3 linked regions of the Mus musculus genome follow. The protein of the gene in region 2 purifies or fractionates together with the protein of the main gene of each other region. This does not show direct contact. Links are inferred from orthologs where the notes say so. Each region holds a gene or a part of one and is shown on either strand. Other genes may lie near its edges.

The links.
Region 1: the proteins of Bod1l (region 2) and Wdr5 purify together in Homo sapiens (affinity purification with mass spectrometry; 4 studies listed by BioGRID and IntAct, counting the BioPlex papers as one, with this or other methods). This does not show direct contact. The link is inferred for Mus musculus from reciprocal best matches to the Homo sapiens genes BOD1L1 and WDR5.
Region 3: the proteins of Bod1l (region 2) and Setd1a purify together in Homo sapiens (affinity purification with mass spectrometry; 3 studies listed by BioGRID and IntAct, with this or other methods). This does not show direct contact. The link is inferred for Mus musculus from reciprocal best matches to the Homo sapiens genes BOD1L1 and SETD1A.

Annotation. Positions count from the first base shown.
Region 1 is NC_000068.7:27,534,445-27,537,044, forward strand, and holds the end of Wdr5 (WD repeat-containing protein 5), read left to right. Parts: intron 1-312; coding exon 313-413; 3' UTR 414-2,091; downstream 2,092-2,600.
Region 2 is NC_000071.6:41,787,024-41,789,817, reverse strand, and holds the end of Bod1l (biorientation of chromosomes in cell division protein 1-like 1), read left to right. Parts: intron 1-868; coding exon 869-986; 3' UTR 987-2,280; downstream 2,281-2,794. UniProt on the Homo sapiens protein: Component of the fork protection machinery required to protect stalled/damaged replication forks from uncontrolled DNA2-dependent resection.
Region 3 is NC_000073.6:127,776,059-127,779,813, reverse strand, and holds the start of Setd1a (histone-lysine N-methyltransferase SETD1A), read right to left. Parts: upstream 2,426-3,755; 5' UTR 2,301-2,425; intron 1,702-2,300; 5' UTR 1,687-1,701; coding exon 1,537-1,686; intron 1,309-1,536; coding exon 1,213-1,308; intron 1-1,212. UniProt on the Homo sapiens protein: Histone methyltransferase that catalyzes methyl group transfer from S-adenosyl-L-methionine to the epsilon-amino group of 'Lys-4' of histone H3 (H3K4) via a non-processive mechanism.

The sequences.
Region 1 (2,600 bases), on a different chromosome or scaffold from region 2:
ATGCCATCTCAGTAATGCCAGTATCCCTGCCCAGATGTATGGTTACCTTGTGCTCAGGTAGAACAACCTCAGGAATAGTAGGGGGCAAGTGGGCATAGTCAGTCCTGAGACCAGTGTAGACAGGTGTGCAGACCCTGCTGGGTACCCACCAAGTGCCTTGTGCCCAGCAGAGCAAGGCTAAGATGCCTGTTACTATTCTGGCATTCTGAGCACTCCCCTGAACCCTGCGGTGCTCCCTGTGCTCCTGAGGGCAGTGAGGCATGTGCTGGGACTGCTTGTCCTAGAGTGGCTCCCTGACTACTCTCCTTTCAGATGTTGTGATTTCCACGGCTTGTCACCCGACAGAGAACATCATTGCCTCAGCAGCGTTAGAGAACGACAAAACAATCAAACTGTGGAAGAGTGACTGCTAAGTCCTGGCTCCATGGGAGACTTAAGGAAGCCACCCGGATTGGCAAGAAACACATGTGGGGCAGAGGCATGGGGCCAGGCTGGGTTGACAGGCCTGGTGCACCTCCTATCTGAAGATGTCGGCTCAGGGGAGTGCACACTACCGAGTCTTGATAGCCACTGTGATATTTCTTGCCAATTCTGTCTCTGCCTGGGGAAGTTCCTGGTCTGTTCTGTGCTCAGAGGCAACAAATTTTTAATTTTTTTATTACAAGAGTGAGTTCAGCTCCTCATGGGTTGTTTTTCTCTGTGGTTGTTGTTTTGGTATTGTATTGCCCAGTGCACACTGGAACAGGACCTACAGCCCTACTCCCATTCCCTGCCTCCTGCCCTGGCCTGCTTGTTCAATTTTCCTGCCTGTAATAGTACCCAGCGTGCTTCCATGAGTTTCTGGAAACACAGAAAGGTTGTAAGTTGTATCCGTGTCAAGTCCCTTTGTTCTTTTGGAGTTCATAGGTCAACACTGACCTCTCAGTGGTTGAAATGTCTCCTTGTCTCACTGGTATCACTCAGTAAGCTACACACACTGTAATAAAAGGTGGGTATGGACTGGGTGTGGCCCTGAGTTCTGACCAGGCTCTTTGACACCTGGCTTTATAAAGCCCTCCTCCCTTCCTGGCAGGAGTTGGAAAGGTCTCTGGGAGGATGGATCCTTGTTGTGCCTCTTCTTCCCAGTGGCTGCTGTGGGTGCTGAGTGTTGGAGAGGAAGAACCTCAGATGAGAAAGAGTGGAAGGAAGTCTTGGAAAGGCACCATGTAGTGAGGTTCTGGACCTCTTTATTCTGTGAGAGGCTCAGGGTCACCTGTGCAGGAGGGAGGAGTTCAATATGGTGCTTGCCCCAGCAGGTACAGCTTCCTGCCTTGGCCTCTAAACCCACCAAACCTCTCTTATGTCCTTGGCCCCCGCCCCAGGTCACCGCCTCAGGTGACCAGGACTGGAAAGAGGTAGTGGCCAAGCTCAGGACTACACAGCATTTTCACAACTGCTGCTGGCTGAACCCAGGGTGACCTACTGTGGAGCAGACTGCAGAGGTTCTGGGAGTACAGATGGGTGGCGGAGGCTGCTGGGCACAGACATGGGTGGAAAGGAGATTCTGGGTTTGCTCTGGTTGCAGCAGCAACCATCTGTGAGGCCAACACTGATGTGTATTGAAGCCACATCACCCAGGGCAGTAGCTGCTCTACTCTGCCTTTGCCAAGGCTTGTCCCCAGCTGTGGTCCTGACAGCCCTTTCTCCCTCCATCGTGCATAATAAGAATCCAAAGGTATTGGAAAAGAAACCCCATACATTGTCACTTCCTTGAGGGAGATGGTGTGTAAATGGGCTATCACATCGAAGAAGCCATTGTTAAAGAGGGTGGCTTGTCACACTGACATGGGCTCTGGGGCCCCTGGCGTCTGTTGGATAGATGAACCTGGGTTCTGGTCAATGTTGTGGGCATGTTGCTGGGGTTTCTGGAGGGTAGTAAGGTCCTTCCAGCTGTGGCCTGGTGTGCGGCCTCCTCCTGAGGGAGGGAGCTTGCTTGCCATGTCGAGCACAGTATCCCCGAGTATAGTTTATTTTTTCTACAGTTGAACTCTGTTGTAGATTTATGTAAAAATACATTCTCTTTTTAAAAATAAAGATTTTCATGCCTTGTAATTTTGTTCCATATAAGTTTGTTTTTTCCAGGAATTCATTCTGTGTGCATTCATTGGGTGTGTGGAGATCAGAGGATTACCTGTCATTCCCTCCCACTTGGTTGGCACTCAATAAGGATTTCTTTAGCAGAACAGGCAGTGGAGGAGCACACCTTTAGTTCCAGCACTCAGGAGGGTCTAAGTTCAAGCAAAGCCTGTCTGCGGAGCTAGTGCTAGGATTACACAAACCAAGGCTCAAATAACAACCAAAGGGAGAAAAAAAATTTTTTTTAAAGATTTATTTATTCATTATATGTAAGTACACTGTAGCTGTCTTCAGACACTCCAGAAGAGGGCGTCAGATCTCATTACGGGTGGTTGTGAGCCACCATGTGGTTGCTGGGATTTGAACTCAGGACCTCTTGAAGAGCAGTCAGTGCTCTCAAGTGCTAAGCCATCTGCTCAGCACAACCCCTCCCCAAAAAATTTGCTTTTCTTTTAGGTAATGTGCATATGTGTGATGGTTCATGT
Region 2 (2,794 bases):
TTGTCATGTGCTACACAGGGAGTTCAAGGCTTGCCTAGGCTAACTACATGATCCTCAAAAAGGACTAAAAAGAAAAAAATCACTAGTTAAAACGTGGACAAGGATGACATTTTTTGTTTGAAAATAGCAGTGCTTAGACAGCATTGCAGTGCAGAGTGCTGAAAGGAGAGAGCTGGTTGTGTAAACACATGCACTGTGGTCTGATTGTTTTGTCCTACAGCAGTGGTTCTCAACCTGTGGGTTGCAGTTCCTTTGAAGGTCATGTATGCTGCATATCAGCTGTTTACATTATGATTCATGACAAAAGCAAAATTACAGTCAGGAGTTGCCACAACATGAGGAACTGTATTAAAGGGGCTCAGCACTGGGAAGGTTGAGAACCACTGTCTGAGAAGCAGAAGAGAGCCAACAAGAGCTATATATGTCTGAGGATGGTGACACGGTTGAATCAGTTACTATGCTTCTCTAAACCTTTTCCTACTGTGCAAGCTGGCTTCTCTAATACTACTCTGAAACATGATTTGACTGTGTCAGATGCTAGGTTACATTCCTGCTATGTTTGTGCTAGTTGTTTTCAGTGGGGTCTGTGTGTGTTTCAGTAGAAAGGACGTGTAGGAAAGGATGCTAACAAGACCAAGGTCAGTACCTCAGGGTGGCAGGTCTGGCACAGAGTGCAGGCCTCTGTGTGCTTCCCCCAGAGCCCTGTCTGCTCTATTCAAGGTTGCTGGTGAAGAACCAGACGTTCAAGAACTTCTGGTATTAAAGACCGTGGGGATTTCCCTCCAGGGTACTGGGTTAAAAACTCCCAAGTTGTTTGAAGCAACTGACTTTTAACTCTCCTCATTACCTTGGCTTTTGCTCAATACAGATCAAAGGCACAGCTCTCCCCTTCTGTCAAGCGCAAGAGAGAAGTCAGCCCTCCTGGAGCTCGAACGAGAGGCCAGCAGAAAGTAGACGAAAACCCTCTGAAAAAGGCAAAGCGGTAATGGTGGCTCTAGCTTTCTGACTAACAACCCAGTGGAAAGAAAATGGACAAGCCTTGCCCCATGGCCTTTTTCTTTTTTTAAAACAAGAGAAGGATCTGCATGTGCTGTAAGTTCCTAGGTGCAAGCTTGTTCATTTTATGTTTTAAACAGCTTTACAAACCATTGTTCATGGACGGTATTATGTACATTCACTTCAGATAAAGGAAGATAAGTTTACTTTGTATCAGAACTCAGCAAAGTAGTTGTATATTTTAACAGCAGAAATTGGGGTTTCCAATGTGACACATCAAGAATGGAATCCTTCCAGCCCATCAGACACCAGGCTGCCCATGGGGATCTGTGTATAGTATATAAACATGTAAAAACAGGCTGTATTTTACTCAATGTATGATGCTAATCAATGAACACTTTATTTATTTTACAGAGAAATCTTATCTGTGAACTTTACTATATATCTGTTTATTTTATTTTATTAATTTTTTTTAATAAAAAGAGGGTTTTAAATGCTATGCAGTCATTAATAGAAGAGTTCTAGGACTCCGAGTGCCCTGTAACTATTAGCATATGGCCTGGCAGGAGACAGAAATTCACGCATGCATCCGAGTAAAGTAGGTTAGCTAAAGAACGGACTCTGCTGCTTCCGTCCAAGGCCGCGACTGTTTTGTCTTTCGATTACCCTTGCCCCTGTGGCTCTACCTGCCAGCCCCATTAACGTAAGTTACCTGGCCCAGGTAAAGCCACATCTTTCACTGCAGGCAGCAAGCTCTGTGGGTTCATTGTTTTCATCTGTGTTCACCCCAAGCCTCAGCCACCATCTCCATACTGTCTGTTCAGTGAAGAGAAGTGCTTGAAGATTCACTGCTCCAGGCTATTCAGCTTCAGGATGCCATGTTTTATACAGTTCTTTCGGGATAGAAACTGGTTTTATATATAGCCAGATTCTTTTTTAAACATGATTTAACTCCCATAATGAACAAACTGTCTGACTTAAGTTTTTCATAAAATAACATTTTCTTAAGATTGGATCTGTTTCTTGCAATGATATGATCAGTTGCCAAATGATTGAAATTTTAAATGCTCTGTTCATACTCTTGTTTTATAATTAAAATTTACATTCATTATGTGTAGGTTTTTTTATTGTTTGGGGTTATGATTTTTTTGTCTTTTTTTCATTGTCTTTTTTTAAATTTTGATTTTATTTTTTGTTTTGGCTCTTGTAAGGTGGATATTCTTGTCATTTTGCATTGTTTCTTACTGAAATTTTATATATAAATTATAAAATGTTTCCCTAAAACTTGAGTGACAAGAATTTTTTTCCCCATGTCTTAAAAGCCAATGCGGTTAGAAATGAGACTGAATCCCAATAATCATTTTTGCTAGAATAGCAGTGTTAAGTTGATTGGTACATGACTAGTGCACACCTGAGCACAATCTCATTGTGAAGCCATAGAGATTGAATTTTATCCGTGAGGAAAAGCTGCCTCCTAGTAAATATGGAGCCAAGCAGTAGAACTGCATCATTGTGCTCTGGTGGAGAAGCCCATCAGCTACCTCTTAGTAATTCCCAGTGGTTCTGAAGCCAAGGGTGACTAGAGAAATGACCCTGTGGGACAGGGGATGTTGCAAGTGTGAAGAAGAGCAGTTCACAGTCATGACTTGATGCTGATAGTATTAAGCAGAGTGGAGGAGCTCAGAGCATGAGCTATCCTCGTTTACATAGTAGTCCCAGAATCCTAAGGACTACTTGGCTCAGGGGCTTAAAGGTGTGTCCACGGTTAAGACCACTTGTTGCTCTTTTTAAAAGATTC
Region 3 (3,755 bases), on a different chromosome or scaffold from region 2:
TCCAAGACATGAAATTTATCCATCTTGATATTTTCTAAACACTGAAAAGTGTCTGGTGGAATATTACAGGGATATGGTGTCAAAGAGGTGATAAGGCCTGCCCAGATCAATAACCACACATGTCAATGCCTCAAAACAGACTTAGGATGCCAGCAATATGGCTCAGTAGGTACAGACACTTGTCACCAAGCCTGACAACCTTGAGTTTGACCACTAGGACCCATGATGAAAACCAATTCCCACAAGTTGTGCTCTAACTTCTACATGTGCACAATGGCATGCAAGCTTATTTATGAATGTACACACATGAAAAATAATATAATAAAAAAGAAAAACAGACTTGGAAAACAAAATTAAAATAAGAACATTAAAACCAGTGACAACAGCAAGATGGAGCCTAAAACTGAGGAAAGCTGCAGAAAGCGAGCAAACATCGGACTCTGCATGAAGAACATGGCAATGGAAACCTAAAGATTAAGACGAAAGGAAAGAACTACTGGGTGACTCCAGGCTTCCAGCTTGGGTACCCGAGTACCTGGTATTGCCATTCATCAGTCAAGAGGAAGTGAGGAGAGCAGGACTCAGGGAAGAAAGATGATGTTTTAGTGTCTCAGTAGATGCTGGCAGGAAGGAGGTATGAGACATAAACATTCAGACAGAAGAGCTTTCAGTAAAGCTGCTCAAGAAAGGGGGGATTCAGAAGGGTGAAGCCACTGCACAACTTACTTTACCAATAATCAGTAAAAGAAAACAAAAACAAAATTAGGAGGAGACAAAGAACTACCAATTTTCGAGACAGTCCGAAGTTTGAAGAATATCTTATTACAGTAGGGAAGCAAGCTGCTCGTACAGACAGGACAGAGGAGCACACACAATGACAGCAAGAACACACAACTCCAAGTGCACAGTGGTCTTAGCAGCATCCTTAATTGCTGAATAACTTGGCTATCCCACTGTCACAAGGCTTCAGAATACCCACCCATACCTCATCCTTCCAGACATCAATACCCTTGTCACCAGATATATACTAGAGTCACCTCAGCTATACATGTATACCTTCTGTCCAAAACATCTCAGTCTCACAGACACAAAAAGCAATGAGATCTGGCTGTCATAGTTCCTTCGGAATAAACACTTTGGTAGACTGTGTGAAGCCCAGGGTCCTTGACACTCTCCAAGGACCAACATGCAGGGAGACCAGCAGGCACTCACCTTAAACTTAGGAACCGGGAGGGAAAAGTCTCTGGCTTTGGACCTGACATGACAGCGGGGGTCCTGGAGGTCTTCCACGGGGGTATACTTTGAGTCCTAACAAAGAAAGCAGGAAGAGATGAAACCAGGCTGAAAATTCACCAGCCTACTGACTCTATAAAGCCCATGTAGAAGCCAACATACAGAAGAGCTGGGAGAGCTTGCTCATTCTCAAAAAACCAAACTACAGGTATAGGAAGTCTGGGTGTTGAATACTGAACAGGGGGAAGCGGGGAGGGGAGATTGGAGGTCCAAATAAGTCAAGAAAGGCTCGAGGGCACTCACACTGACACTGAAGTGGACTCCGTCATAGCGGTACACCTTCTGGGAAGGCCTGCGCAAAGCAGGGTCCAAAGCAGGATCCACTATGAGCTTGTAGTTCCGCCACTGGAAGCTCGGGGCTTTCTGCCCGTCTCCCCCACCTTCCTGGTCCATCTTTGCTCATTTACACTGTCAGGAAAAGAGGGATACGGAATGGGAGTCCACGACTTAGGCCTGACTCCCTTGCTGTCCCCTCAATGTCTAGCCCCGATTCCAGGGTCTCACATCAGTCCAGTCCCCGACACCTCAGCATGACCCGTGGCTCCCTCAGATCTTGCCCTGAGGAGCTGGGCTCACTATGGCACTCCATTCCTCTCCATCCCCAATTCTACCCTCAGGGCCCAGGCCCATCTCGCGCCCCCTTACCTTCCCGCTCTCCCCAGCGCGCCCCACTTGGCCTCCACGCAAGACCCCTCCCCCGTCCCCTCGCAGGCCCCGCCCCCTCCCGCCTCCTCACCGGCCAAGCGGCCCGGGCCGAGCCCCGCTCCCGCTCCCACACAGCCGCTCGCGTCCCCGCGCCCCGATCCTCCGAACCAGAGGTGGCACCTCTTCGGGGCGTTGGAAACACCGCGAGACCGAATCTGAGACCCAGCTTCGGTCCCTGAATCCAGGCGGGGGGGTGGGGGGAGGTAACGCGCGCCGCTGCCCTCTCCTCCCGCCCGGGCGCGTTCGGTGTCGTCCACCCCCCCCACCCCGTCGGCGCGCACGCGCGCCGGGGCCCTACTCACCCGCTCGTGGCGAGCGGCTCACCCTCCCCCCACCGCGCGCAGCACCTCAGCGGCGTGAGGCGGCGGCGGCGGCGGCGGCAGCGCGAGACCCGGCCCCGCAGCGGTGGCGGCGGCGGCGCCCCCCCACCACCACCTCCCCGGCGCGCGCACCAAACACCACCGCCACCTGCGCGAGGCCCAGCGGGCACAGCGTCTGCATCCGCACTTTCGCTACAAGGACTGCGGAGCGATCCACGGGGCCGAGGGTAGCGGCCTTGCCTCGGCCGGCGCCCTGCGAGGCTCGGGAGTTGTAGCCCAGGGAGCCTGAAGATGGGCCGCATTCCCCGGAGAGTGGACCGCACCACCCTGATCCAGCTGCTCCGGCCTTGGGGTTCCTGGCGAATCGGCGGCGACGAAAGCTGCGACGAGCCCCTGAGGGAAGGGGGCGGAGCGAGGGGGAGGACGCCAGCCAGAGCTCGGGAGATTTGAGTGGCGCGTCCAACGACGCAGATTCGCGAGGCGGGCGGGGCGAATGAGTGGACAGGATGCGCGCTCCTCGGCTCCTCTTCCCTGCCCCTTCCTTGCGCAGCCCGAATGCCTATGAGGCTGCAGTGCAGATTCGCCACCGTCCTGGGCTTTGGCCGTCACCTCTTCTCACCTGCTGTAGAGTCAAGAAAATGACGCCTGGCTCGCCAAGCCCTGTTGGCAGAGTCGACCTCTAGTCCTGGATTTTTTTTTTTTTCAGTAGAACGACTCAAGGAACAGCACACTTCCTACTTAGTGCGAAATGGTTACAAGGAAGAAGTCTTCTCGGCGTTTCCTGAAAATTTTCAGACAAGAAAAGCTGCCCAAATAATCCTAAGGAGTCGGGTAGCGAATCTGCCGATCCGGTTGTGGGCGGGGCTAACGAGAGAGGCGTGGCCAGGCGTGCGGAGCCCGGCGTAACGGGCTGCTTCCCTTAGAATCCACCAAAACCTGGGAGGGGTGGGAGGTGGAAAAATACAACCAGGAGGGGTGACTCAGGCGCTTTGCCTACCGACGCACAGAGTGAAATGATCGGTTCCTTCCCGCTTTTATATTCGGGCTCCTGTTGTTTTTCAGACAGCATGACATCGAACTTGCTATATAACGGAGGATGGCCTCGAACTCCAGATCCTTTTGCCTCTATTTCCTGAGTACCGGAATTACAGGTGTGCACACCATAACCGGTTTATAGCATGCTGGGAGATCTAACTCAGGGCTTTCTGCGTGTTAGGCCAGTACCCTAGTTACACCTCCCTTGGGCTAGTTTTAAAATGTTCCTTCTGAGCCGAGCAGTGGTGGTACACGTCTTTAATCCCAGGACCTGGGAGGCTGAGGCAGGTGGATTTCTGAGTTGGAGGCCAGCCTGGTCTACAGAGTGAGTTCCAGGACAGCCAGAGCTACACAGAGAAACCCTGTCTCAAAAAAAAAAAAAAAAAAAAAAAAAAAAAAAAT